3 linked regions of the Elephas maximus indicus genome follow. The protein of the gene in region 1 interacts with the protein of each later gene in a pairwise test. Links are inferred from orthologs where the notes say so. Each region holds a gene or a part of one and is shown in the gene's direction. Other genes may lie near its edges. The genes, in order: DDI1, KLHL42 and CYGB.

Region 1 (8,845 bases):
TACACGCTGCGCTGAAGGCACTGGTGAAAAACAAGCCTCCAGGAATTGTCAGAATACCAACTGAGAGGTTTCAACAGATGGATGCAGGGCTGGAAGTGCTCACTCATCTATGCCAAGAAATTTGGAAGACAGCTACCTGGCCAACCAACTTTAATGAGATGGATTGACACAGTGGCTACAACAATGGGCTCAATCATGCATAACAACGATTGCGAGGATGGCACGTGACCAGGCAGTGTTTCATTTTGTTGTACATACGGTCGCTCTGAGTCAGAATGGACTCGATGGCACTTAACGACAACAATATTTTAATAAGATTTGCAGTACACATAACACTCACCTGGGGATCTTGTTAAAATGCAGATTCTGATTTAGTTTATCTGGTCAGGAGTCGGAATCGACTTGGTGGCATTGGGGTAGGTGGGTTGGACTCGACTTGACAGCAATGAGTTTTTTTTTTGGTTTGGGGCAGAAGTGCAAACTCTCAGCAGGGAGTCAAACTGGAATGAAAAGATGTAAAGCCCTGATTGGAAGGGACTATAGGGAATTGTTATGGATTGAGTTGTGTTCCCCCCAAAATGTGTCAAATTGGCTAGTCCATGATTCCTAGTATTGTGTGATCATCCACCATTTTGTCATCTGATGTGATTTTCCTTTGTGTTGTAAATTCTACCTCTATTATGTTAATAACGTGGGATTATCAGCAGTTTTGCTAATAAGGCAGGACTCAATCTACAAGGTTAGGTTGTGTTTTGAGTCAATCTCTTTTGATATATAAAAGAGAAGCAAGTAGAGAGACTGCGGGACCTCATAGCACCAAGAAAGAAGCACTGGGAGCAGAGCACATCCTTTGGATCCAGGGTTCCTGCGATGAAAAGCTCCTAGATCAGGGGGAGACTGATGACAAGGACCTTCCCCCATAGCTGACAGAGAAAGAGAGAACCTTCCCCTGGAGCTGGCACCCTGAACACGGACTTCAAGCGTCTTAGGCTGCAAGGGAATAAATTTCTCTTTGTTAAAGCTATCCACTTGCAGTATTTCTGTTACAGCAGCACTAGGTAACTAAGACAGGCATAAAATTATAACATTAACTTTTTGAAAAATAAGTAAATGCACACATACACACGTGTATATGTTGACTTGGAAAGTACATAATCCAAAAGTTATACTATTTTCAACATTCAATATGCACCTGAATATGCATCTTTGTCATGACATGTTAGAACTAATAATCTATAAAATAAAGCAAAAATATGCTCATTTATATATTTACATATCTGCTTATTTATATATTTATTTAACAGCTCTTATGATGTTTAAGCTTCAAAGACAAGCAATACTAAACCTTCTCATATGGGAAAATTTGGAAACATACTAAAAAACTTACTAAGGTTTTAAGACTAAGCTTTCATTACACTATTTTTAATGTACCTGTTAAATAATTAACTATCTGTAGAAATAATTAACTATCTATAGAAATAAATGCTATCCATTCATGGCAACTCTGGTATAATTTATTGCATTGTTACAAAGCAAATAATTGAAGAGTAAGAAAATTAGTTGTTTAACCTAAGCATACGACTTTAAAAATTCTGCCTCTTTCCTAAGTTAAAATTAAAATCTCAAGTGTTGATTTAACTATCTTAATAAATCTCAATTACACCTTATTTTAAAAGAAATACCAGGCACATAGCAAGCTAATGTAGTTCTTAACGTAGTTTAATTATTGTATATGTTACACAATGACATTTATCGGCTTCTCCAGCTTTTCATAGAAAAGACTTATTTTGCTTTGAAAAGCAACAGACAGTGCTTTAACTGACTAATAAGTAGAACCATCAATTATCTGGATTTTTTGCCACATTAAGCTTTATAAGGAGACAAATTATAAAAGGTATTATTATGGATTAATTCCAAAAAAATTACTTCGAGGTTATTTCCCTGGCCAGCATGAGATCAGAGCCTTCTCTTCTGTTTTCTCGGCATTTATGCTATACAATGAGAATTGGTTTTCTGAATGATAGCCCGAGACCCTGAGGAGTCTCACTTTTCAAAGAAAGATTCAATTATGTTTCTATATTGTACTTACCAAGGAAGGAAAATAAGAGAATATACTTCACAAAGAACTCCTTAAGAAAAGTCACAATAATCTTGAGTTCCTTAGACTAATAAAAAAAAAAAAAAGGCTAATACACCCGGATAATTCAGATCACTCCTTTCTCAGCAATCTGTGCAATAGGGATTTATGGTACAACAACATTTTATGATTAGGAATATTTCTTTACACAGTAAAACCTGCAAAAGCCAGAACCTGTGTAAGGCAAAAACCTGTCAGAGGAGGAAAACGCAAATATTTTCCACTAAAATGATTACTAGAAGAGTGGTAAGACTGCAACCTGTCAAAGGCAGAAAACTTGCAAGACCCAGAAAAACAAGGCAGCCCTGCTGAGTTCCAGCTCTCACAGGTTTCAGTGTATATGGCCCAGTAATCCCCAATTTTTTTTATACAATCAGAAGAAATGCCTTATTAAAATTTTGAGGTAAGAGAATTATACATATGATATTTGAATCACCAGTGTTGTTGTTGTTAGGCGCCGTCAAGTCGATTTTTGACTCATAGCGACCCCATGCCTAGTACTGAGTAAAATGAAAGGAGAAAACAACGCATAATGGGAAGCGCTCAACAGCCCCAGGAAGCCGTGTTTATCTTTTCAGATTCCAGACTCTTTCGCAACAAGACTTGAGGATGAGAAGGATGCCTCCCAGTCCTGACGCCCTGTGATCTATGAAATGATGACAGTTAATTGGTCAGATAGGTTTTCTTCTTTCCATGTTATGCTCTAAGAGTAAAATAGTAAAAAAGCACATTGATGCAAAATGCCATCAAAAGTGAAAAATTACCAGAAGATAATAAAAAGATTGCAAAAAGTTCCATTATGTTCAGTAACAAAGCAATGCTAATATTAATGAAAAAAAGATGTTACTTTGATGTGAACCCTGAATTCTTGTTTTGCCCCCAAATTATTCTATAAAACTAATTTCATCCACTACTTAAAAAATAAAAAATAACACCCTTGTATTATCTCCCTAAGTATTAAGGTTTTAAGAACAAACTGTTCAAAACTACTGGGGGGTGGGGGGAGGGAAACGTAGCACTAAATCCAAGTATCGCTGGCATCTCATCTATTCTCTAGCTCAGGGATTTACATGTGGTATCGCTCACATTAAAGTTGCTTCCAAACTCAGAAGAAACCATTACTGATGTCTGCTGAACTTATCAGGATGCCAAGAAATTTAATAACTTAATATCATTGGGCCAAAGGGCCGTTCATCTCTATAAATAGTGGGAAATAAATAATTTTTTTTAAAATAATTTACAATTTTCTTCAGGAAAATTACAATGCTAGATTTCTTCCCCCAAGTTGTATAAAACCCCCGTATCATGAAGAGCTGCCTTTCCAGTTAAAGGCTCAAAGTCAGGCCATACATACTTTTCTTGGCAGGTTTCTTGGGTTTCTCCACGCCAACTCTGACCCACTTGGCTGACTCCTTGGCATCTTTCTAAGCCTAGCTTTTTCAAGAAGCCTTCCCTGTCCAACAGCCCTCACCATCTCGTTCATTTGCTCTCCAGATATTATAAATTTCTCCTTCACAGTACAGGCCTCTACTGTGGTTTTTTTCACCCCCTAATATTTCAAGTGTGTGTGTGTACTTTTCCTCTTTTACACCATAAGCTCCTTTAAGGACACAGCCTGTGTGTACATTATTCATGTTGGTACACTTAGCGCATGCTTCACACACACTGGGCACTCATTCAACATTTCTAATATAAATGAATATGAATATGGAAGTATGACAATTACAGCAAGGAGTGAGACACCTTCTTCCATCTAAGATGTCAAACATGTGAGAAAAAGGAGCAAAAAAAAAAAATCCCCTAAACTGATACAGTGCTCTCCTATATGGGACGACAGATCCTTTCTGACAAAATTTGAAATAAGGAAAGGCAAGGAGGCAGAGGATGTTGACTGGCTTGTGTTCCATAAGTGATTACACTTGGGAAAACTGAGTCAGGATAAACACTTTAGGAAATGTAGAGAAAATTAAGTGGCACTCAGGAAATTCCATCCAGTCACCATTTACCCTGAGTCTACTCTGGTAGGAACAAGGGAAGCCCTGTGCCCCAGGGTCAAAGAGAGAACCATATCTGGCCTCCAGTGTGGCATTCACCTTTCATTTTACTGCAGAATCAATGTCAGATTGATCACCACAAAGGTTCATCTCACTTGCCCACTCAAGACCACACCTATTTCTAATCAAAAACCAAACGAGTTGCCATTGGGTCAATTCTGACTCATCGGGACCGCATGTGTGTCAAAGTAGAATTGTGCTCCATAGGGTTTCCAAAGGCTGATTTTTTGGAAGTAGATCGCCAGGTCTTTTTTCTGAGGAGCTCTGGGTGGACTCAAATTGCCAACCTTTTGGTTAGCAGCCAAGCACACTAACCGTACCACCTAGTGACTGTTTCTAACGAGTATCCCATTTTAGAGACCCTCTCTTATCCATACAATTTGCTTCCTTTACATTCCCCATACCCAATGTGTCAACAAATCCTGTCCATTCTACTTAGGAAACATTTCCCTTCCCCACAGCTTCAATTTAGTCATCCTCAGTTTTTCAGACTTTAGCAACAGCTCTCTTTTTGAACTATTGAGAAAGCCCCTTAACTGGGCCTTCTGCCACCCTGGATTCTCCATATATCATTAGAAATGTCTTCCTTAGATGAATTAAAAAAAAAAAAAAAACTCAATTGTAAGTACCGTCTTCAAATATTTTGCTTTCCTTTCTCTTTTATAAATACAGGGGGGATTCTTGCTTACTGATGACATGTAAATCCTTGGATTCACATATAAATTGGGTCTTGCTTTATATCCTGCCATTCAATGTACAAATTCCTCCTATTACTTTTCTCATCTTTCTCCGGAAATAACAAGAATTCATGCCTTGCCATGAATTCTTGCTTTTATACACCCATTTCCTTTTGTCTGGAGTGAGGCTCACCACTTTTTCACCTGGAAAATGGTCATCTTCATCCTCCAATTTGAGTATGTCCTCTTGAGAGAAAATTACTTTGATCTACTGGTTTCTTTAGCAAGATGACCACATCTTCGTAAAAGCACTTACCCCATTATTTGGTTTACCCATTTACCCATCAATCCCTCCCTGGGATGTGAGATCCTCAAGGGCAGGCATCGAGTCTGGCTTATCTTTCGTATCAAGCACATAAGGTAACATCTATTTTGTTGGAAACAATGCAGGGAATAAGGAAAAGAACGTAAAAAAGTTTTAGAATTAAATGAACGTGAAAGTGTTTTTGAAGAGCTGAAATAATCTTTTCCATAGCATATCCTCAATTGGCTTTTAAGGGCTGGCCTTGGAACCCAACGGACTTGAGCAACTTTGTGTCTATGGGAATAGGCATTCTAAGTTCCAAAGAGCACACCTACAAATGAACTTTGGAACTCAACAAGCTACCCCAAGGCTCCATGGGCCTGAGCAGCAGGCACTGAAGCTGGGACGAGGTCCCCAGGCTGGTGAGTGGCTGTGCCTCTTGGAGAGGTGAAGGAGCCTGAGCAGCAGTGCCAAGTCGTGAGAAGCAGTGGCTCACCAACGGAGACCGGTCAGCCAGTGAACGATCCAATGCCATCTGTCGACGTGGCCCTCCCGGGCCCGTGCCATGCTGATCACTGTGTACTGTGTGCGGAGGGACCTCTCCGAGGTAACCTTCTCTCTCCAGGTCAGCCCTGATTTTGAGCTTCATAACTTCCGGGTGCTCTGTGAGCTTGAGTCTGGCATCCCTACTGATGAGACCCAGATAATCTATATGGAGCGACTCCTTGCTGATGACCACTGTTCCCTAGGTTCCTATGGCCTAAAAGATGGTGATGTTGTAGTCTTACTTCAGAAGGAGAATGTGGAACCTCGGCCTCCAGGACGAACACCAGACCAGCCTCGAATAGATATAAGTGGGATAGCTGTGCCTGGAACATCCAGCTCCCGCCAGCAGCAGTACCAGCAACAGCAGCAGCAACAACGTGCACAAACAGCCCAGCAGGCCCGAAGCTTGGCTTCCGGAGAGAAAATGGTATCTTCTCAAGGTCTGGACAGCCCAGCCTTGATCCGAAGCATGCTGCTTTCCAATCCCCATGATCTGTCCCTGCTGAAAGAACGCAACCCTCGCTTGGCAGAAGCTCTGCTCAGTGGAAACCTAGAGACCTTTTCTCAGGTCCTGATGGAGCAGCAAAGGGAGAAGGCTCTGAGAGAACAAGAGAGGCTTCGCCTTTATTCTGCTGATCCATTTGATCTGGAAGCTCAGGCTAAAATAGAAGAAGAAATCCGGCAGCAGAACATCGAGGAAAACATGAATATAGCAATAGAAGAGGCTCCCGAGAGTTTTGCACAAGTGGTAATGCTTTATATTAACTGCAAAGTGAATGGGCATCCTTTGAAGGCTTTTGTTGACTCAGGCGCACAGATGACCATTATGAGCCGAGCTTGTGCTGAGAGATGTAACATAATAAGGCTGGTGGACCGACGATGGGCTGGGATTGCTAAAGGAGTGGGCACACAGAGAATTATTGGCCGCATTCATCTAGCTCAGATTCAGATTGAAGGTGATTTCTTACAATGCTCTTTCTCTGTACTCGAGGAGCAGCCCATGGACATGCTTCTAGGACTAGATATGCTCAAAAGACACCAATGTTCCATTGACTTGAAGAAAAACATGCTGGTGATTGGTACCACTGGCACACAGACTTTCTTTCTTCCTGAGGGAGAGTTACCACCATGTGCTAAGCTGGTAAGTGATACTGGGCATGAGGAGTCTTCTGACAAGGAAGTAGCAGATCCTATTAAAAAATCAGTCACGGATTCCGGACGGAAAAGGCACTGAAGCAGGTTGTAAATGTATCACCACCTTGAGGCTGTCTCAGGTCCCAAGAAATTATAAGAAATGAGCTCAGTGGCAATGTAACCATTAAAAACATCAGTAACAACTAAACCTGGCCTCTGGACTAAGTTCTGAGACCTGTAATTATGTAAATCGTACTTGCTTTATCTTGGCCCTTCTTCCGTTTCCCTTATCCAGAGGTCACGGAACCTCATACTGGGAAGGCTCTGGAGGCTCCAGTTGATTTCCAGATAATCCATGAAAAGGAAAACCAGCCTTTTCTTTTAGAGACATTATCCCAGCAGATTAAAAGGTGGCTTGTCCAAACCAGCTGCTATTTTGCAGAATTCCTGGAAAAAGCCATTGCTACAGACCCTACAAGGCATCTAAGCAAAACTATTTCATATTCCCTCTAATGATTGTTTATATTCAGAGAAACACGTCTGTTTTCCCAGATTTTTTTTTTTTTTTGTGTGTGTGAAAGGTATTAGAAACGGTGGGTCAGTTATACTTTTGAGTTGTTAATACTTGTAACTCTGATTTGGACAGCATAAAGCCCCATTTCTTCCTATTTTATATTTTCCTTTCCCTGAAGTCAGTCATTTCTATAGCAAGTTCACTGCAGCCCACCCTGCAAGCTAGTTTTGCCATATTCCAGATTTTTCTCCTAAAATAATTTTCTCTTTCCCTTGCGTACGAAGAAACCCTGGCTATAAAATGAAGGCACTGAATTCGATTTTTTTTTTTTCCCAAATTATGGTGCTTTTCGGGAACCTGCCGGTTGCATGCTGTTGGAAATGGGGTGCAGCAGGCAGGCAGTGGCCCAAGTGCCCCAATACTCATACTAGATCAATATTAGACCAACTCCTTTTTCAAAAAATCTACTTTATATATTAAGCAGTTATGTAAGAGGTTTGAAAAAAGAGTTTAACTGCTAAAATAACATTTGAAAACTTCTGAATGAGAAGATCTCTAATGCCTCGTTCACCTCCATGATCCATTCCAACAGGGCTACTCTCCATTACTACTGGTAGTGAGAAATGGAGGAGCCTAGGCTTAATTACAACCCGTGGTTAATACACCTGAGAGAAAAGGTTCAGCTGCCTGAGGTCTTCAGACTCAGGGCAAATGTTTCAGGGCCATAATTTATCAAGACTGGTATTAGAAACAACAGTGGATTCAAAGACATGAAACATATGTTCTGATAAACCAAATAAACCAAACACATTGCCATTGAGTCAATTCTGACTCACAGCAACTCTACAGGACAGGGTAGAACTGCCCTATATGGTTCCTAAGGGTGTAATCCCTATGGAAGCAGAGTGCCACACTTTTCTCCAGCAGAGTGGCTGACGGGCTCCAACCACTGACCTTTAGATTAACAGCTGACCACTTAACCACTGTACCGCCAGGGCGTGGGTTCAAACTGCAGACCTTTTGGTTAGCAGCCGAGCTCTTAACCACTGTGCTACCAGGGCTCCAGTACTAGTTCTATGTTACTTAGGCATATCACTTCACATATTTTAGAACTCAGGTTCCTCATCTGTAAATTGTTTGGGAAGAAAAGGCACCTTCAAGTACTAAGACTGTATCTTTTCATCTCAAATACCCTTTCAGTCATTCCAGCTGTTTTCCTAAGATCTATAGCCACTGGAAGCACTCTCTATGGCTTAAAAAAAAAAAAGCTTCCCTATAATAATATCTTTCTCTTGGTCCACTTCTTCCTGAGACTAATCACTTTCTTTCTAAAGAGACACCTGTTCCCCTCCAGCCATTCTCAGTTCATGTCCCAGTTTTCTTCTTCCTGAGAGGTATAGCCTATGTTCACATTCCCTAACCTGGTCTACCCTTGCACCAGGGCTTATGCCCAGCACAGCTGCTAACAATGACCAAATG
Region 2 (10,213 bases), on another chromosome or scaffold:
TCTCCAGGGACCGACCCCTCCTGATAACATGTCAAAGTATGTGAGATGAAGTCTTGCCATCCTGTCTTCTAAGGAGTATTCTGGCTATATGTCTTCCAAGACAGATTTGTTCATTCTTTTTGTAGTCCATGATGCATTCAATATTATTCACCAACACCACAATTCAAAGTCATCAGTTCTATATCTGGTCTTCCTTATTCATTGTCCAGCTTTCGCATGCATATAAAGTGATTGAAAGCACCATGGCTTGGGGCAGGCGCACCTTAGTCCTTAAAGTGACGTTTTTTGCTTTTTAACACTTTAAAGAGGTCTTTTGCAGCAGATTCGCCCAATGCAATGCATCATTTGATTTCTTGACTGCTGTTTCCATGGGTGTTGATTGTGGATCCAGGTAAGATGAAATCCTTCACAGCTTCAGTATTTTCTCCATTTATCATGATGTTGCTTATTGGTCCAATTGTTGAGGACTTTTGTTTTCTTTGTGTTGAGATGTAATCCATATTGAAGGCTGTAGTCTCTGATCTTCATCAGTAAGTGTTCAAGTCCTCTTCACTTTCAGCAAGCAAGGTGGTGTCATCTCCTTAACACAGGTTGTTAATGAGTCTTCTTCCAATCCTGATGTTCTTCATATACTCCAGCTTCTTGGATTAGTTGCTCAGCATACAGATTAAATAAGTATGGTGAAAGGATACAACCTTGATGCACACCTTTCCTGACTTTAAACCACACAGTATCACCTTATTCTGTTCAAAGGACTGCTTCTTGATCTATGTACAGGTTCCTCATGAGCACAGTTAAGTGTTCTGGAATTCCTATTCTCCCCAATGTTATCCATAATTTATTATGATCCACACAGTTGAATGCCTTTGCATAGTCAATAAAACACAGGGAAACATCTTTCTGGTGTTCTCTGCTTTCAGCCATGATGCTTCTGACATCAGCAATGATATCCTTGTTCCATGTCCTCTTCTGAATTCGGTTTGAATTTCTGGCAGTTCCCTGTCAATGTACTGCTACAACTGCTTTTGAAAGATCTGCAGCAAAATTTTGCTTTCATGTAATGTTAATGATATTGTTCGATAATTTCCACAGTCAGTTGGATTACCTTTCTTTGGAATAGTCATAAATATGAATCTCTTCCAATTGGTTGGCCAGGTAGCTGTCTTCCAAATTTCTTGGCATAGACAAGTGGGCACTTTCAGCACTGCTTCCGTTTGTGGAAAGATCTCAACTGGTATTCCATCAATTCCTGGAGCCGTTTTTCTCCAATGCTTTCAGTGCAGCTTGGACTTCTTCGTTCAGTAGCATTGGTTCTTGATCAGATGCTACCTCCTGAAATGATCGAATGTTGGTACAGTGACTCTGTGTATTCCTTCCATCTTCTTTTGATGCTTCCTGCATCTTTCAGTATTTTGCCCATAGAATCCTTCACTTTTGCAACTCGAGGCTTGAATTTTTTCTTCAGTTCTTTCAGCTTGAAAAATGCCGAGCATGTTCTTCCCTTATGGTTTTCTATCTCCATGTCATTATAATACTTTGTCTTCTCAAGCTGCCTTTTGAAATCTCCTGTTCAGCTCTTTCACTTCATCATTTCTTCCTTTGCTTTAGATACTCGATGTTCAAGTGCAAAGTTTTAGAGTCTCCTCTGACATCCGTTTTGGTCTTTATTTCCTATCTTTTTAATGACCTCTTGCCTTCTTTGTGTGTGATGTCCTTGATGTCATTCCACAACTCATCTGGTCTTTGGTCATTAGTGTTCAGTGTATCAAATCTATTCTTGAGATGGTCTCTAAATTTAGGTGGAATATACTCAAGGTCATACGTTGGTTCTCATGGACTTCTAATTTTCTTCAGTTTCAGCTTGAACTTGCATATGAGCAATTGATGGTCTGTTTTGCAGTCAGCCACTGGCCTTGTTCTGACTGATGACATTGAGCTTTTCCATCGTCTTTTTCCACAAATGTAGTCGATTTGATTCCTGTGTATTTCATCGGGCAAGGTCCACATGTATAGTTGCCATTTATGTCATTGAAAAAATGTATTTGCAACAAAGAAGTCGTTAGTTTTGCAAAATTCTATCGTGTGATCTCTGACACTGTTTCTATCACCAAGGCCATATTTTCCAACTACCGATCCTTCTGTTTCCAACTTTTGTGTTCCAATCATCAGTAATTATCAATGTATCCTGATTGCATGTTCCATCTATTTCAGACTGCAGAAGTTGGTAAAAAATTTTAATTTCATCTTTAGCCTTTGTGGTTGATGCATAAATTTGAATAATAGTAGTATTAACTGGCCTTTCTTGTAGGCGTATGGATATTATCCTATCACTGCCAGCATTGTACTTCAGGATATATCTTGAAATGTTATTTTAGATGATGAATGCAAAGCTATTCCTCTTCAATTTGTCATTCCCGGCACAGTAGACCATATAATTATCTGATTCAAAGTGGCCAATTCCAGTCCATTTCAGCTCACAAATGCCTAGAATATTGATGTTTATGTGTTCCGTTTCGTTTTTGACAATTTCCAGTTTTTCTAGATTTATACTTCATACATTCTGCATTCTGATTATTAACGGATGTTTGCAGCTGTTTCTTTTCATTTTGAGTTGTGCCACATCAGCAAATGAAAGTCTGGAAAGCTTGACTCCACTCATGTCATTAAGGTCGACACTTTGAGGAGACAGCTCTTCCCCAGTCGTATTTTGAGTGCCGTTTTTTTTTCCAACCTGAAGGGCTCATCTTATGGCACTGTATCAATGTTCTGTTGCTATTCATAAGGTTTCCACTGGCTACTTCTTTTCAAAAATAGACTGCTGGGTCCTTCTTCTGTCTTAGTCTGGAAGCTCAGCTGAAACCTGTCCTCCATGCATGACCCTGCTGGTATTTGAACACTGGTGGCATAGCTTCTAGCATCACAGCAACACACAAGTCCCCATAATAAGACAAACTGACAGACGTTTGGAGTTCAGTTATATACAAGCAATATTTTCATGAAGCCTGGAAATAATATTTTAGATCTTTTTGAATACAGAAGTTTATATTGATTTAACATTGCATTTCTAGCTTAACAGAAACTTACTGTGTGAGTTAATAAGATACTATCATTTTTTAAGATGGCCCCAGTCCTAAATGACATTATTATCTTTTCAGGAACCAAAAAGCTTTCAGGATCTGGTCCCTATATTGTCAGGCTAACAGCCCAAATTCCTTGTCCAGGCTTATCTTGCCCCAGTGCTATTATTGTAGTTGAAGTGCCTTTGTAATGCAGATCATTCTTGGAGTGTGATTTTTTTTTTTTGGGGGGGGGCATGGTGTCTGTTTTACAAAGACAAGAAAATACCGGTCAGAGGCATATCTATGACAGTTGGGAGACAAAAGCATCCATTGGTGAAAGATTCTAAAGGGACAGAGGAGAGACTAAGAGTCTGTTCTTCTTGGCTGACCTGCTGAATTGAGGCCCAAATAAGCCCAAGCCTCTTAGCTATGGTGAGGGTGGAGGGGGACCTCCCCTCCCCACAAAAGCCCCAAGTCTACTGCCTAATATTGCACTTGGTCCTTTGCAATTTCAAAGCAGTTGCGAAATGCATGGTCACTCACCCCCTTAGAATGTCTCAACTACACCCTCATTGAGAACAGAAGAGTGAGAAGTAGTTGTGAGAATGGTGTTTTTATCAGTATGATTTAAAGGGCAGGTGAAACAAGGTGAAGAGCGGGATGTTTTCAAAAGAATCTAAGAAAACTGTTTCCTTCATTTTTCCCATGTGGGCCAGGATCTACTAGAATTCTTTTCTGTCTTTTAAATGTCAGTTTCCTTGTTCATGGTGTATTATAATGAAAATAATGGATGTCAATACCTCACTATAAGGCAGCTAAATTACATGATAAGAAGCACAAATATAACCAAATAGTATGCTAAAGAATTTCATGTTTTACTAATATGACTTTGCTTTCTTCCTCTATTATTTTACCATCCCCCTGTTCCTAACAAAATCAGCATTGTAGGATGTGCATTCTTTTTGGAATAGGGAAAATATACTTTTGAAGAAGATATGACTGAACAACTTGTCAAGTTGAAGCTTGTAATTAAAAAAAAAAATTTATGGCCCTTTTGCAAAATAATTCTGAGATACTTTTTTATTATGATGAAAAAACTTCATTTGTACACAAAGGCATATATAAGAGAATAGTTTAATGATGCCCAAGAACCCATCACCCAGCTTCAGTATTATCAATATCTTGTCAATTTTGTTTCTCTACCTCCACCACTTTTTTGCTTTATTTTAAATTAAATCCCAGAGATTATTTCACTGATATGCACCTTTAAGTTGCAAGATTTTTTTAAATTTAATACCATGTCATGCCATTATTACACCTAACAAAATTAGTAAAATTATTACTGCCTTAATACGTGATACATTTCTAATCCTTTTCTGTGCTCTGGCTGTGCAGCTAATTCTGTGGCTGATGGAGCTCTGGACCTACTGGCAAAATGGAGGTTCCAAGGCAGGCACTGCCTGTTTATCTTGTGAACTCAGGCAGGTCACAGTGTCTCTTCTAGTTCCTCATCTGTAAAATGAGGGACTAGATTGGGTGGTATTTAAACTTCTTTCTAGCTCAGTGATTCTGCCAAAATACAATTGATAAGTATTAATGGCAGAAAATATCAATCAACAGAATATGCAATGCAAGAGGTTTTGGCTAAGGAAAAATAGGTTTATAATTTGGTCCTAGTTTTGGTTTTTCAGTGAAGAATTGAAACAGCTTGGTTTCCGCTGGTAATTCCTAATCATGGAAGTGAAAATCATATTGTAAAACTTAAGAAAAAGTGAGGTGACAGCACCTCACCTAACGTGATACTTATTCTAATACGAGGAAAGATCCACTATGAAACAAGTGGGGTGGGGTGGTGTGGGTTATCAACAGCTCCAAGTGAGCTTTCCTCTTCCTGACATCAAATGTTAATTTGCCTCGTAGGGGTTATCTTCTGTTTGTAGTAGGGGAAGTAGACTTGGAAGAAGATATTGTTTAACAGCTTGTCCTTCAAGAAGAAATTTAAACAATGTCCAATACTATTTTTCTCACATTGAGAACTATTATAGCAGGTTCTCAAATCTTGGTCAAGGGTTCTTTGTAAGATAGAGTAGGCACACCCTTCTCCTTTCCTTCTACCCAAAGGTAACAACGATATTTTTTCCCTCACCCCCTCCTTTTCAGGGATTCATAGCTCATGAGCAACACAAGGGTCCTTTTTATTAATTGGGGTGAACTTTTTATTTGTTCAGTGAGAGAAGATGGGGAATAGGTGGTTTCCCCTTAAGTAGTCCTCAGACTTTGGGGGCCAGGGTGAGACAACTGGTGATAAGAAAAGCCACCTCTGTAGGTAAATATGAGTAAAAATGGCCAGGCCTGATACCCAAAGATAATATTTCATAATGGCTAGCCCAACCAAGCTGAAATAGGAAAAGCAATGACTATTAGAAAATATTTGGTAGAAATAATCTATGATAAAAAAAAAAAGAAGGCACGTGTGACCTAACTTTATTTAGTTGAATTGTACTTCAGTCTTTTTTTCTTAATATCACGAAGAAGATAATAGGGTCCCAGAAACACAGATCATCCAGTGCACTGTGGACCCCATGAACTGAGCCCTCCAGAACTCGCAGCCATCTGCCTGGGCCTTCTGCAAGATGGCTGCTAAATGATGATCATACCTAAGCATCAGCTCTAGGTGCCACTGACATGTCGAGAGATGACCTGTGTGCCTGAGCCTTCTGGGACACGATGCCAAACTGGGCGAGATGATGGACCCCAAACATTATGTCTTTGACCCCATGGATCCCACCCCTTCATCTTTTTCCTGCCACATCGCTTCTTTCTCTTCCCAGTCCCCCCCATAAAGTAGAAGGGAAGAAAGAAAAAAAAACAAACTGGGTTCATCTTTCCTCCTTTAACACTCAAAAGCATCATTCCTGACACTGGCAGGGGGCAGAGCCCGTGCGCACCAGGCGTGCCGAGGAGGCTGCGGGGACGCGCGCCCTCCAGGATCCTGCCGCCTGCGTGTCAGCACCCCGGCGCTGAAGGCCTGCAGCCTTCCAGCTCTCTCCGAAAGCCGGATCCAGTTCGCAGGTCTAGCGGCTTGCAGGGGTCCTGCGGGCGGAAGTGAGAAGGGAGCGTGGGAGGAGGCTGCAGGCTGGGGGTTGGGATATCCTCCCTGCCTGACACCGCCCGGGAGCCTCGGAGCGAGGATTGCGGCCGCCTTCCGATGCCTGGCGGGCGGGAGCCGGGCCTTTTGTGTCGCTACGGGTGACAAGGACAGGACCGCTGCTTTGGGGGAGAAAGTCTGAATCGTAGCCTCCGGGCACTGAGGAGGGACTCCCTGGGGGGCTTCGCAGTGACCCAGTTAGGCCGGGCGAGCGCGGGAGCGGGCGACCCTTCGCCTCCCTCCTCCCGGGCCGCCATCCCTCTGCGCGCCCAACCCGGAACCCCGCGAGTGCGTGGGGGCGGGGAGGAGAGCGGCAGATCTGGCGGGACGACCCTCAGCCCCCGGCCTCCCAACCATGTCCGCCGAGGAGGTGGTGCAGATCCGCCTGGAGGACCGCTGCTACCCGGTGAGCAAAAGGAAGCTCATCGAGCAGAGCGACTACTTCCGCGCCCTCTACCGCTCCGGCATGCGCGAGGCCCTGAGCCAGGAGGCCGGCGGCCCCGAGGTGCAGCAGCTGCGCGGCCTTAGCGCCCTGGGCCTGCGACTGGTGCTGGATTTCATCAACGCCGGCGGGGCTCGCGAAGGCTGGCTCCTGGGCCCACGGGGGGAGAAGGGCGGGGGGGTAGAGGAGGACGAGGACATGGACGAGGTAAGCCTGCTGTCCGAGCTGGTGGAAGCAGCCTCCTTCCTGCAGGTCACGTCCCTGCTGCAGCTTCTGTTGTCCCAAGTACGGCTCAACAACTGCCTGGAGATGTATCGCCTGGCCCAGGTGTACGGGCTGCCTGACCTGCAGGAGGCCTGCCTGCGCTTCATGGTTATCCACTTCCACGAGGTGCTGTGCAAACCCCAGTTCCACCTTCTGGGGTCTCCTTCTCAAACCCCAGGGGACATCAGCCTCAAGCAGAGGCTGAGGGATGGCCGGATGACTGGGACTCCGGTCCTTGTGGCCCTGGGGGACTTTTTGGGGGGACCCCTGGCCCCGCATCCGTACCAGGGTGAGCCCCCATCCATGCTCAGGTACGAGGAGATGACTGAACGTTGGTTCCCGCTGGCCAACAACCTTCCTCCTGACCTGGTGAATGTCAGGGGGTACGGGTCTGCCATCTTGGACAACTACCTCTTCATAGTGGGCGGGTACAGGATCACATGCCAGGAGATCTCTGCTGCGCATTCCTACAACCCTAGCACCAATGAGTGGCTCCAGGTGGCCTCCATGAACCAGAAGAGGTAAGCACTCCAGTAGTGTTGCTTTTTTTCTCCATTCATTCATTGTTCGTTAATTCATTCCACTAATGTTTATTGGGCAGTCACAGGAGATGGTGCTGAGGTGGAAATGACATCTGTTTCTGGCCTTGATTCTGTCCAAGTTTCCAATGAATTAAGAACTTGCAAGGAAGAAAAGGCCCCAGTAAAGTAAACCAGCTGAGTAGTTTTCTTGTAGGTATTGCGCCTTTAGGCAAAACTGCTTTCTTTGCCTCTATCCTAGTGGAAAAAAAGATGATGTGATTTCCTAGATTTCCTAGGATACTTTATAAGAGAGCTGCTCTTTAATTTTGCCTTTTTTTTTTTTTTTTTACTTTTTTAGGATTGTGTTTGTAGTGACACACTGGCCAGTAACCTTTAAGGCAGGCTTTGAGGGTTTTTTTTTTTTTTTTCCTTATTAATGACTTAGAAGCCTCCCCTTTGGGCGTCAGTCCATCCATGATCAGGAGATAATCTTTAGAATTTTATTTTTATTTGCTATATAGGATTGACTTTTATAATTTTATCCTTTTTTGCATCTTACTTCCTTCTCAGATAGCCATCGCCATTGACCCAAAGATCGAGCCTTACAATGGTCACCTACAGAAATGGAATGTTTCCATCCATCCCAACCTTCTCCCTTCCCATCCTGCATATCCCTCCTGCCATGAATATGGGTAACTTGAGGAAAAAAAGAAGGAGTGTGGAGGGGGGGTGGTGGTGATGGTGAGTTGGGAAAGGAACCAGGACAGGAATAGGAAAAATTAGAGTAAAGAGCAGATAAAGAAAGAGGTCGTGGGAAAGAAAGATGGTAGAGCATAAAATGGTTCAGAGCCATTCAGAAATGGGAGGAAATCGTGTAACCCAAGAAGGGATAGGAATACCATTTCTTCTGGTTCACCACCCGTTTACATCTCAGGCCCAACCATGATCCCTACCCTGAAGTGCTGAGCAAGTGAACTCACAGAACCAGGCAAAGAAAATCTTAACATGAATGGGAGGCCTTTATATGTATTTGGAGTTCCTGGGTGGCACCAATGCTTAAGTGCTCAGCTACTAACTAAAAAGTTGGTGGTTCGAACCCACCCTGAGACACCTGGGAGGAAATATCTGATGATCTGCTTCTGAAAGGTCACAGCCGTGAAAACCATATGGAGCACAGTTCTACTCTGACTGACGTGGGGTTGCCATGAGTTAGAACTGACTGACAGCAACTGGTTTACTTTTGTTATTTTTTAAGCACGTATTTACTGGATTGAGGATTCTTCCAGGTCGGAGATTATTTGGGGAACAGCCTTTATTTCTACTTTAATGTAAAATTGATTTTGCAAAGTATTCCTTTTTTCCGATGATGAAAGGGATGGGTATTCTCTGTCACCTTTATCACACCCATCTCCAGCTCTATGATAAATCTGCCATCCCCAGGTTCATAACTAACACAGCACATTTTTAGTAGCTGAAAAATAATAGCTAATATTTAATTTAGCACTTATTCTGTCTAGGTACTGTTGTTGGTACTTTGCATGTATTTGTTTTTATTGTACTTTAAGTGAAAGTTCACAATTCAAGTCAGTTTCTCATAAAAAAACTTAAACACACGTTGTTATGTGACCCTAGTTGCTCTCCCTACAGTGTGACAGCATACTTTTCCTCTCCACCCTGTGTTTTCTCTGTCCATTCAGCCAGCTCCTGTCCCCCTCTGCCTTCTCCTCTTGCCTCAGAACAGGAGCTGGCTACATAGTCTCATGTGTCTACTTGAGCTAAGGAGCGCACTCCTCACCAGTATCATTTTATGTCTCATAGTCCAGTCTAATCTTTGTCTGAAGAGTTGGCTTTAGGAATGGTTTTAGTTCTAGAGAGTCCAGGGGCCATGTCCTCTGGGGTCTCTCCAGTCTCAGACCATTAAGTCTGGTCTTTTTATGTTAATTTGAGTTCTGCATCCCACTTTTCTCCTGCTCCATCAGGGATTCTCTGTTGTGTTTTCTGTCAGGGCAGTCATTGGTGGTAGTTGGCCACCATCTAGTTCTTCTGGTCTCAGGCTGATGGAGTCTGTGGTTTATGTGGCCCTTTCTGGCTCTTAGGCTCATATTTTCCTTGTGTCTTTGGTGTTCTTCATTATTCTTCACTCCAGGTGGGTTGAGAACAATTGATGCATCTTAGATGGCCACTTTACTCTGCATGTATTCATCTTGCTTATTCTTCACAAGGATTATATTAGGCAGGTTCTCATTTTACAGAGGCAGGAATTGAGACACAAAAGTTAAGCAGATTGCCCAAGGGTGTGTAATAATTTGAGGAACCAATATGTAAATATCTATTGAATAGATGTAACCATTTATATTGTTTACAATTTTTAGCTTGTAGACTTGCAGTGACCGTCTTCTTGCAGATTATTTTTTCCTTTTTAAAAATTATTTCCTATTCAAGAAGGGGAGCACAGGTATTTGAGGGTACTATACTGCTTTTTAAAATTTTATGTGCATAGGCTTCACCACAGCCTTTATGTCCAACATTTGTCTAGTCACTGCTAAGTGTTCAGAAACATGTCATGGCTCCTGCTCTCAAGAGGTTTCAAGTTGGATTAAGGTGAAGAGACAAGTAAAAGTGGAACCTAGAATGAGATTGTTTCTGGGTAATACATCCAGTACAAGTCCCACCCTGGAGAAAGCTTGGAACCTTGGATTAGAAGGGCAGGTTCTAGCCTGCAGTTACACAGTATTTCACGTCTACCTTAATTCACATTTGACAGGATCTACCATGGGAT
Region 3 (11,057 bases), on another chromosome or scaffold:
GGGAGATTGCATGTTAGAATTTTGTAAAACCAACAACTTATTCATTGCAAATCTCTTTTTTTCAGCAACATGAACAGCAACTCTACACATGAACGTCATCAGACAGAATACACAGGAATCAAATCGACTACATCCATGGAAAGAGACAATGGAGAAGCTCAATATCATCTGTCAGAACAACACCAGGGGCCAGCTGTGGAACAGACCATTGTTGCTCCTATGTAAGTTCAAGTTGAAGCTGAAGAAAATTAAAACAAGTCCATGTGAGTCAAAGTACGACCTTGAGCATATCCCACCTGAATTTAGAGACCATTTCAAGTACAGGTTTGATACATTGAACACTAATGGACAGAAGACCAGACGAGTTATGGGATGACATCAAGGACATCATACGTGAAGAAAGCAAAGGTTATTAATAAGACAGAAAAGAAACTTGCTCTTGAATGTAGAGTAGCTGAAGCTAAAGGAAGACATGATGAAGTAAAAGAGCTGAATAAAACACTAATGACGTATAAAACTGCAGCCAGAATAGTACACATTTACTGAGCAGTTGGTAGGTGCCATCCGTTTGGTTCCCACTCATAGCGACTGTGTGTGTAGCAGAATTAAATGCCCAGTCCTGTGCCATCCTCACACTTGTTGCTATGTTTGAGCCTGTCGTCGCCAACCTGAGCAGCTCGTCTTCCAGCATTCTATCAGACAATGTTCTGCTGCTATATCCATAAAGTTTTCACTGGCTGATCTTTTTTTCATAACTAGACCTCCAGGTCTTTCTTCCTAGTCTGTCTTAGTCTGGAAGCTCTGCTGAAATCTGTCTACCGTGGGTGACCCTGCTGGTATTTGAAATAGCTTCCAGGATTACAGCAACACGCAAGCCACCACAGCACTACAAACTGACAGATGCTGTGGCACGTGCTTAACAAGGATGATGTCCCATTTAATCCTCACAACCACTCTGTTATTAACCCCATTTAACACATACAAAATCAAACAAACAAAAAGTTGCTGTCAAGTCAATTCCAACCCATAGCGACCCTATAGGGCTGAGTAGAGCTGCCCCTCAAGGTTTCCAAGGAGTAGTTGGTGGATTTGAACTGCCGACCTCTTGGTTAGCAGCTGTATCACTTAACCACTGCACCACCAGGGCTCTATATATAATAAGGCTACACTACTAATCCCATTTACTATACATATAATAAGGCTATATTATTAACCCCGTTTAACATATATATAATAAATTCATTATAAGTCAATCCTAACTCACAGCGACCCTATAGCACAGAGTAGAATGGCCCTATAGGGCTTCCAAGGAGCGGCTGGTGGAGTCGAACTGCCGACCTTTTGGTTAGCAGCCATAGCTCTTAACCACTGTGCCACCAGGGCTCCATATATATATAACAAGGCTACATTATTTGCCGAAAGTCACTTGTTAGAGGGGAGTCAGGATTTGGACTCTGGCTGCCCAGCTCCAGGCGGAACTTGACATTCAAGTGCCTCCTGTCCATGAGCCAATGTTGGTTATTTTATAGGTGTCAGCCCATTTAATTACTAGCCTCAGTTAGGCACTGTTATGATAGTCTTGGAGTCCCTGAGTGGTGCACATGGTTAAGCACTTGACTACTAGCTAAACGGTTGGAGATTTCAGCCCACCCAGAGGTGCCTCGAAAGACCTGGTGATCTGCTTCCGGGTATGTCACAGCCTTGAAAACCCACTGGAGCTGTTCTACTCTGCACTTATGGGGTCGTCAGGAGTCAGAATCCACTAGATGGCAACTAACAACGACAGCACCGTGGAGAGGAAGGGTATTCCTGAATTGCCTCTGTTTCTCGTACATGTTCAGGGCTTCTCCCTGGGGCTTTTTGACACTCGGTAACTGGAGAATCCCAGGACCGAGAAGAGAGGAGCTGAGATATGGAGACAGACTCAAGTTCTCCTGGTTGGCCAGTTTCTGTACCTCTAAAGGAATCGACTCGATGGCACTGGGCTTTCTGGGAAGGGATACATTGGAGCCCTGGTGGCATGATGGTTAAGAGCTTGGCTGCTAACCAAAAGCTTGGTTGGAATCCACCAGCTGCTCCCTGGAAACTCTGTGGAGCGGTTCTATCTATCCTATAGGGTCGCTGTGAGTCGGAAACGACTCCATGGCAACGGGTTTGGCCTTAGATTTAAGGGATACATTGTGGCGGGTTCCCCACCCAGGAAGAGACACGGGTGTTCACAGACGTGCGGGCCGACCATCCCAGCCATTGGAGCTCCTGTGTGGGGACACCCTCCTTCAAGGGGCCCTGCAGCCTGAGGGGGGCCTGTAATCATTTTTGTTCTGTTTCTGTAAAGAAGAAATGCCCAGGGCCTAGTAGACACTTGCTTATAAGGTGACGTCACTCTTCAGACAGACATCCACTCTCCGGGGGTCTACAGGCCATAAAAAACATCTGACACCTATTTAATGCATATGAGTTGGGTTTTCAGTGATTTCTTGGCCACAGGAGCCCCTATCCAAGAAAACACTGGTCACCCAGGGACAGAAAAGCCTGTAAGTTGCCCAGACTTCACCCCCAAAGGCCGCATGGCCTCATCCCAGGGAAGAGTTAATTTTCCGGCCACAGGAGACCTGGTCCTGCCGGCAGGGGCCAACCAGCCAATGGCGCTTGATGCTGATGATGTCATGCTCCTCCTGTGCCTTCCATTGGGGACTGGACAGCGAATCCGGCTGGAGGATCAGGCAGTGGAGCCGCTGAGGCTGGGCAGGTCGAGGCGATGGGGGAGGGGAAGGGGAAGGCAAGCAAAGCCAGGCAGAGAGGCATCTGCCTTGTCCCTCTGTCTGCCGCCCCTGCCCCTTCCAGCAGAAGGTGCGCGGCTCAGATCAGACAAGCAAGGAGAGCAGCTTTGGTCCAGCAGTGGGGGCTGGGGCTCCCAGTTTGAGAAAACAGCCAGCCTTCCTACCAGGCAGACAGGGACCTGGGTGACTGGGGCAAGGGGCCTGTACCTCCTGGACAGCATACAGTACACACACACATGCACACACGCACACACATACTCACACACACATGAACACATACACCACGTGTGCACCCCAAGCAGGGCCACCATAGCTTCCTTTGCAGTAGCCTTACTCCCCCACCCACCTCTCCCCTGCCTTACCTGCCTGAGGCCTGGAGGTCAGCTTCCAAGCCGCTGCCCACCACTGCCCCGTCCACACCGCTGGGCTCTCTGTGGGAGGAAGAACAGCAGGCAGAGCTGTGCCAGCACCCACGCCTTCTCTCCTACTTCTCCAAGACCTCACCACCTTCTGCAGTGGGACTGGAGGCCTCGGCCCTAGTGCCTTCCAAGAACCCCACGCCCCCTCTTCCTATTCCAGGACTAAGAGAGAAGCTGAGACACAGAGAGGCTCCGGTTCTCCTGGTTCGCCAGTCTCCGCACCTCCACCTGTCTCCATTCTGAGAGTGAGCCTCTCAGGGATTCCTGGCCAGTACCCTCCCAACCTCCCTGGAGCCCAGGCAGCCCCTGGCCACCTTCAGGCTGGCTCTAGCCCAGCCCAGCCCTTCCTCCCCACCCCTGCCCCAGCCCATGGGCCCGGCAGTTTCTCACGGTTGGACCCGGTTGGCGAATCGGCGGCGCCAGAGCATGGCCAAGGTGCTCAGCAGGAAGAGGGTGGTGCACATGCCCCACCCCCAGGCCAGAACCCTGCCTGCAGAAGAAGGCCTCCGTGAGGGCCCAAAATGGCCCCCACCAGCTCTGACGAGCTCTCTAGCCAAGGTTCCTGGTGGTGATGGATTAGGAAACTCAAGCTGATTAGCCAGGTCAGCCGACCAGACCTTGTGAGGCCTGATTAACCTCACTGGGCCCAGGGTCCTCCCTGAGTGGCAGAGTAAACACACCTCAGTCGATGCGTTCAACAGACACTGAGCACCTATTCTGAATGTTAATACAAATGACACAGGGCTTGCCCTCCAGGGGCCAACAGTCTAGACAACTGCACTGTCAAGTTCAACAAATGCCTACAAGAGTGACAGAGGTGCTATTAAAGGTACCTGCAGAGCACTCGGGGAGTTGCAAGCATCAGGCAAAGCTCCCGAGAAGAGCTGGGGGCACATTAACTTACAGGTGAACCAGGAAGGATGGCCTTAGAAGGATCTGCAAGGGCTGGGGAGGAAAGGACTGGAAGCTGAGTGGTGTGGGGGACCGGTGGGGGAACACTGGTGTCCCAGTGGAGCCCTCGGGACAGGGAGGAGGAGGAAGAGAATATTAGATAAGGCCAGAAAGACGTGAGAGAGCAAGGGGCCCCAGGCGTCTAGCTCAGGGTCCAGTTTCATCTTCTGGACAGTCCTCTCTGAACTGTTCTGATGACACATCTTTTCAGTAAAAGGTGGAATTTAAGTACACTCACAAAACAGATATATGCATCCACTTATCAGGAGCCCTGGTGGCACTGTGGTTAAAGAGCTGAGCCACTAACTGAAAGGTCAGTGATTCGAAACTACCAGCCACTGTGCGGGAGATGTGGCAGTCTGCTTCTGTAAAGATTTACAGCCTTGGAAACCCTACGGGGCAGTTCTACTCTGTCCTGTGGGGTCACTAAGCTATCGCAGTCGAGTCGATTCCGACTCATAGCAACCCTATAGGACAGAATAGAACTGTACCATAGAGTTTCCAAGGAGCGCCTGGCGGATTTGAACTGCTGACCTTTTGGTTAGTCCCGGTAGCACTCAACCACTACGCCATCAGGGATTCCATAGGATCACTAGGAGTCAGAATTGACTCAACAGCAGTGGGTTTGGTATTATAAGTTATATACTTTCCTACTGTGCAAATATGTTATATCATAAAACATACATAAAATTTGTAAAGGATGAGCTAAAAATGAATAGAAAGAGCTCTACTTTCTTTCCACATCCTCTTGAAGGCCAACATGCTAGCTTTGGGAAACTATCAGACCTGCACCGCCTGGAACATGGGGCCTGAGATGGCCATGGCTGTCCAGCCCGAGAGGAGGGCATGGGTTTGAGAGCCATCTGAGAACCTGAGTCACCCCTCTCCTCCACCCCCTCCCAGACTCCTCGGAAGGCACTGGGTTTTCCTCCCCTCTCCTGGGGTTGGAGGCCTCCTACCCGGACTCTCACTAAGGTAAGCAGACCCTGAGCTTCGAAAGGCCTGGGCCCGTGCTTACTGCACCTGTCAGTTCTCTACCTGGAAACAGGATTTTAAAAATAAACACAACCAGAACTGAAAGGAGCAGCCAGCCCCTTGCAATGCTTAGGCTGCGGAATACAGTCTTGCGAAAAACAAGGGTCACCAGGGTGCCTCAGGCAGGACGGCACAGCCCAGTGCTGTGGCATCCATTTCAGACCCTGCAGCCAGAAGTGGGACCTGGCAGTCCCCAGCACTAGTGACTTTTCACAAGGTGGGCACCCGGGGACTCTGGCCCAGTCTCACCCACACCTTATCTGTCCTGCTCCCCGGGCAGGGCCCACCAGGACCTTCCCTGATGGGGCCTTGGTGGTGGTGGTGAGATATCTCCAGCAATGACGCCTCCCCCAAGACTTCTCGACCCCCTGCTGCTCTTTGCGGCCGGCTGCCTTTCCTTCGGACTCTGTCCACCAGCACCGCGGTGTGGGGGGTTGTGTTAGTCGGAAGGAAAGGGGGCGCAGGCCTCTGAGGGCCAGGTTCCGAGGTGTGGTCCATTTCCGACAGCCGTCCCCATCCCTGCAGCAGTAGTCCTAAACCCTGAGGGGCCCGGGGTCCGCGTGGGCCCAGCGCTGGATCCGGAGAGGCCCGGAACGAGGGCGAGCCAAGCCCCGACCGCGGCCGCTGCCGGGGAGGCTCGTGTGCGTCCCTCGGGCCGGCGGTGGGCGACCCGGCGCGAACGCCTGGCAGTGTTTGACTTTGAATCAGTGCCCGGCCTTGTGAAGCGTGCACACCCGCCCCGGGGCTCACTTCTGTGCGCTCGGCGCCTCCCCGCGCCTCGTGAACGCCCCCTGCTCCGGAGACCCTCGGCAGACCGGCCACACCTACCCAGCGGCCAACTCCGCGGCGGCCTGGAGGGCGGGCGGCAGCAGCGACGCCCCCATCCCGCCCAGCCTTCACCTTGCCCGAATTGGCTGGCGACACGCGGTTGGGGATTTGGAGCGTCTTTATTTTTTTAAGGCTTTTTCCTGCAGACCAGACCACATCCCCGCCCCCCGCTCGCGGTCCCCCGCCCCCCGCACATATACCCTGCACACACACACACACACACACACACACACACACATGCACACACACATTCACTCACTCACTCACGCCCAGCGCGCACAGACACAGACAGACACGCTCCCGCCCTCCGGCGCGCTCTACCCCTCGCCCGCCCGCCGCGCACGCAGCCGGCCCCGCGCCCCCAGCCCCGCCGCCGCCGAGCCAGCCGGGCTGGGCTTGCAGCTGCTCATGGAGAAAGTGCCGGGCGAGATGGAGATCGAGCGCAGGGAGCGGAGCGAGGAGCTGTCCGAGGCAGAGAGGAAGGCGGTGCAGGCGACGTGGGCCCGGCTGTATGCCAACTGCGAGGACGTGGGGGTGGCCATCCTGGTGAGGTAGGTGTCGCCCTGGCCCTGGCGGGCCCGGGAGAGGGAGCGCGGCAGCGGCTCCGGGCACGGACGGACTCGGCCCGGGTCCGAGCTCCATCGCCACTTCCCCAGCTGCGATTGGGGCCAGGCCAGGCCGGTGAGGCTCGGGCAGCGTGGGTTGCCTTGGGGTGGGTGAAGTGCTGGCTGAGCCCTTCTTGGCTCCAGGGCGCGGGGCTCCCCAGGAACGAGGAACTGGACGCGGAAGGAGAGCATCTCTATCCTTCTCTCCTGGGTCTTAGAACTCCTGCCCAGGCAGCCAGTGCCTCCTCTCCAGCGACCTCCTCACCCGACCACCCAGCCCAGCCGTCACCCATACACATATTACTCTTGCTTCAGATGGGACTAGCCGGGTCTCCCATTTTAGAGATGAGAATACTGAGTCTCAGCCAGGAACAGGGGCAAAGGGGAGCAGCTCCCTCTCTCCAGCTCAGCCCCTTTTGGAAGCCTCGTGGAAGAGTAGAGCAAAGATCAAGGGAGCAGAAATCAGGAGTAGATCTTGAGGTCCAGGGCTCCCAGCTGCTCCTTTTAGCCTGGAGCGGGTGGGCCAGCAGGGAGCTGGAGGCCAGGCACAGGTGAGTGGAGAAGCCCCCAGACCCTCCAGGTACAGTCCCGCTGAGTTGGGTGGAAGGAGACAGAGCCCCAGCCCAAAACCCCTACCCAGGGAGGAAAGACCCTATCTTGGGCTTAGGGGTCATTCAGGCACCACACTCCCCTCAGGGACCCAAAAACATAGGGTGACACGGTTTTTCACACACCTACACATCAGCCGCACGCCCCATTCCTATATACTTAATGTCACCAAGCCCCACAAGCTAGCCAAGCACAATAGCTACACACCAGTGCCTTCTTCCCACACGGGCTAGTCCCTGGGGTGCAGGCGGAGAGACTCCCACCCATGGTCGCCCTCACACCCTGTCCTTGGCAGGGGGAGCCTCAAATATGGGGCAGAGCAGGGCAGTCTTATTCTTTGAAAATAAGGGGGAAGCCTTGCTGAAATGCATACCCTGTTTCCCCTGGCCCCACTTCAGCTCCTCTTTCTCCCCCTCACTCACTCTCTTCTTTCCACCTCCCCCAAGCGGCCTGGGACCTACCCAGCTCCATACTGATATGCCCTGATTCCAACTTAGACACAGTTTTAGGGGAAAAGGAGTGAGAAGCACTTCAAAAGAGCTCAGGAAGGCCCCTGAGGAAGGGGGAAGCCATGTGGGCAACCCACGCAGTCCTCCCAGGCCCAGGAGCCCAGCTAGGCTGGGAGTGGGGATCGAGAGGGGGATTCAGATTGTGGAGCCTTCAGACACCAGAGATGCAGCCCCGCACGTGTGAGCACCCCACACGCAGTGGGGAGCAGAGTTGCAGACACACCACTCTGCCTTCGTGGGGGGCCCTGTGCAAGGCAAGGGCCCCAGAGTGAAGAGGCCCAAAGGACCTCTGGGGATCATTTGTCTCAACTCCTGCCATTTGCCAGGGAAGACAGATAGGGGACAGGTCCAAGATCCATCTCCTGAGGTACCACTGAAGGCCCCCAGGAGTGGAGCAGGGGGTGGGAGGCAGGAGAAGGGACTGCACGCTGAGGGCGGGGCTGTATCTGGATAGTGAAGTCCTTGGTAAGGTTTCCTGTCTCTCTCTACACCCCCTTTGAGTTCCCCACTCCCGACTCTTAGGGGAGACTGGGCCTGGGCTGGAGGGTGTTTACCAAAGTGCTCAGAGGTCCTGCATTAATCCCAGAAAGCGGAAGAGAGCTGGCAAGTCTTAATTAGAAAGGGCCTGCTGACACCCCCGCCCCCATGTACTTCACCTGACCCCACCCCTGTGTGGACCATTTCAATGCCTCCTGCCACCTTCCATCTCTTCTGTCTCCTGTTGGCTGCCCAGGGCCTGGCCAGTGGGGAGGGTGGGAGGGTTGACAGCATGGTTGATGAGCTTCTGGTGGGGGGGGTCTCCCCTCCCCAGATCCTTTGCTCCTGTCCTCATCCCCCTGTCTTGCTACAACTCCCTCATCACCCTTACATCCAGGAGGGCAAGGCCCCTTTAGAGCCTGAGACACACCTTCTGACCCCTCACTCCTCCAAGGCCTGGCCAGTGCCCTCAGCTCTCATCAGCCCGCAGGCCAAGGAGGAGGCAGCCAAGGTGGTAGAGGTGGAGGAGTTGCCTTAGGGGTCTGAGTCAGACCCCACACCTCCCTGCCTGGGAGGAGGGGGCAGTGAGGGAACACCCATGCTCTGTGAAGGCTCCCCTCCCAGTTGTAACTCTGACACCTTCCCCCTCACACTCAGACAAGCCTATTTCTGGCTCTCTTGGAAGTCCAGATGCCTCTGGGAGCTGAGAAACTCCCCAAGACTGGCTTCTCCCCAAGCTTCTCCCTGACAGCACAGGCTGGGCTGGGGGGTCAGGAGTAGAGGCACAGGGGAGAGAAGGGGCAGAGCTCGTGGCTCCCAGCTTCCCATGGCCCAGTGAGGGGCCCTGGGCTGGGACTCCCAGGTTGTCGTTGCTCAAGCCCATATATGCGGTGCTGGGCGTGGAGGCAGGAGATCTGCCTGGGTCCCAGGCAATGATCCCCCTGGCGCAGCATCTTGTAAAGCAGGGGCTCTCTGGGTCGTTCCTAGTGCCACCGCCTACTTCACTGGGCCACCTTGGGTGACAATTTCCTAATTCATAAGATGGGGAGACTCCCTGGAGAAGGACATCATGCTTGGTAAAGTACAGGGTCAACGGAAAAGAGGAAGACCCTCAATGAGATGGATTGACACAGTGGCTGCAACAATGAGCTCAAGCATAACAATGATTGTGAGGATGGCGCAGGACTGGGCATGTTTTGTTCTGTTGTGCATAGGGTCGCTATGAGTCGGAACTGACTGGAGGCACGTAACAACAATATGGTGGGGAAAGACAGTGCCACCCCCAGAAGGGTATTGCAAGGATTAATGAGATCATACAGTACATGCTCAATAAATGTTTTTATTTATGGTTAAGAGCTCGACTGCTAACCAAAAGGTCGGCAGGGTGAATCCACCAGCCGCTCCTTGGAAACCCTATGGGGCAGTTCTACCCCGCCCTATAGGGTTGCTATGAATCGGAATTTACTTGATGGCAACAGGTTTTTTTTTTTTTTTTTTGTATTGTTACTATTATTTTCTAAAGGAGCCCCCGTGGTGCAGTGGTTAAGTGCTGAGCTGCTAATCAAAAGGTCAGTGGTTCAAACCCACCAGCTGCTCCATAGGAGAAAGCTGTGGCAGTCTGCTTCTATAAAGATTATAGCCTTGGAAACGCTATGGGGCAGCTCTATTCTGTCCTATAAGGTTGCTATGAGTCGGAATCGATTTGACGGCAGTGGGTTTGGTTTTATAGCTTTTACAATGCATCTCCAGAACAATCCCGTGCATTTTCAGACGCGTTGCCTCATTTGTGAAGTTTGGAGCTGAAGGGACTCCTGTCTTTTGCAGCCAGATGGGTTGTGAAGTGGTTTGTCCAGGGTCATACTCAGCGTCTGAGGGGGGCCTCTCTGGTCTCCACATGGACTGAGCCCAGATCACTGTCCGAATCTCCCCTGCCAGGAGCAGCTTTGTCACCCGAAGGGACAGCCCAGGCCACATGCTCTCTGCATCTGCTCCAGCTCCCAGATCAGAGTCCTGGCCAAAGGGTTGGTTTAGCAAATTATCAACTCTGATCACAAAGGGGAACACTCCAAAGGTGTGAAACGGCCTGAAATAACAGGTCTGAGACACTCTCTGTATTTTCTGAGGATTCAGTTAAGTTATGTAAGTTCTGACTGAGTCCCTGCATACGCCTCACATGACAGGAGGCCCGGTGGGGAGAGAGGTGCCAATGTCATTAATGTCACTCCAGACCCTGGGCTGGGGTCATGGGTCGGGGACACGAGGCCTGGGCTCTGCCCTGGGGTTGTGGTAACTAGTCTGAGACACAAGCGGCAGCAGCAGGAAGGACACCTGAAAGGGACAGATGCCCTGGAGGAAAAGCAGTCGACCAGGCCAGCCTGGGCAGGGACAGGGGAGGCAAGTCTTCAAGGGAGAGAGAGTAAGAAAGGCACTCCACCCTGTGTCGAGGACACCAGCGCACGGGATGTTTTCCTAACAGTGAGCAAAGCTGTTGGGCTGAAGAGGAGATGCCTGGAGTGTAGGGAGAATGTGGACATCTTGCTGGAAAAGAGTGTGCGGGAGAGTTTGTAAGAAACCTGGAATTTCAGGTTGAGTTTTGACTTTGGTAAACAGTGGGAGTCATTAACTGCTCCTGAGCAGGAGAGCAACCTCATGAAAGTGGTATATTAGGGAAACTAGACAATTTAAGATAAACCGTAGGGTCGCTATGAGTCAGAATCGACTCAACGGCAACAGGTTTGGTTTTGGTTTAAAGAGGGAAGAGGCAAGAGCTAGGAAGACCTGTTCTTGCTCCAAGTTCACAGACTCGTTGGGGAGGGAAGACTTTGCAACATGAAGTAATTAGAG

The links.
Region 2: the proteins of DDI1 (region 1) and KLHL42 interact in binary tests that used the Homo sapiens proteins (3 or more experiments, as listed by UniProt). The two-hybrid records come from large-scale screens. The link is inferred for Elephas maximus indicus from reciprocal best matches to the Homo sapiens genes DDI1 and KLHL42.
Region 3: the proteins of DDI1 (region 1) and CYGB interact in binary tests that used the Homo sapiens proteins (3 or more experiments, as listed by UniProt). The two-hybrid records come from large-scale screens. The link is inferred for Elephas maximus indicus from reciprocal best matches to the Homo sapiens genes DDI1 and CYGB.

What each region holds. Positions count from the first base shown.
Region 1 is NC_064825.1:16,532,487-16,541,331, reverse strand, and holds DDI1 (protein DDI1 homolog 1), read left to right. Parts: upstream 1-5,737; coding exon 5,738-6,952; downstream 6,953-8,845. UniProt on the Homo sapiens protein: Probable aspartic protease. Seems to act as a proteasomal shuttle which links the proteasome and replication fork proteins like RTF2. Required, with DDI2, for cellular survival following replication stress.
Region 2 is NC_064822.1:86,558,237-86,568,449, forward strand, and holds the start of KLHL42 (kelch-like protein 42), read left to right. Parts: upstream 1-6,023; 5' UTR 6,024-6,562; coding exon 6,563-7,434; intron 7,435-10,213. UniProt on the Homo sapiens protein: Substrate-specific adapter of a BCR (BTB-CUL3-RBX1) E3 ubiquitin-protein ligase complex required for mitotic progression and cytokinesis. The BCR(KLHL42) E3 ubiquitin ligase complex mediates the ubiquitination and subsequent degradation of KATNA1.
Region 3 is NC_064837.1:66,753,863-66,764,919, reverse strand, and holds the start of CYGB (cytoglobin), read left to right. Parts: upstream 1-6,225; 5' UTR 6,226-6,250; coding exon 6,251-6,564; intron 6,565-11,057. Other genes in the region: photoreceptor disk component PRCD, read right to left, coding at 3,143-3,211, 3,590-3,663. UniProt on the Homo sapiens protein: Probable multifunctional globin with a hexacoordinated heme iron required for the catalysis of various reactions depending on redox condition of the cell as well as oxygen availability.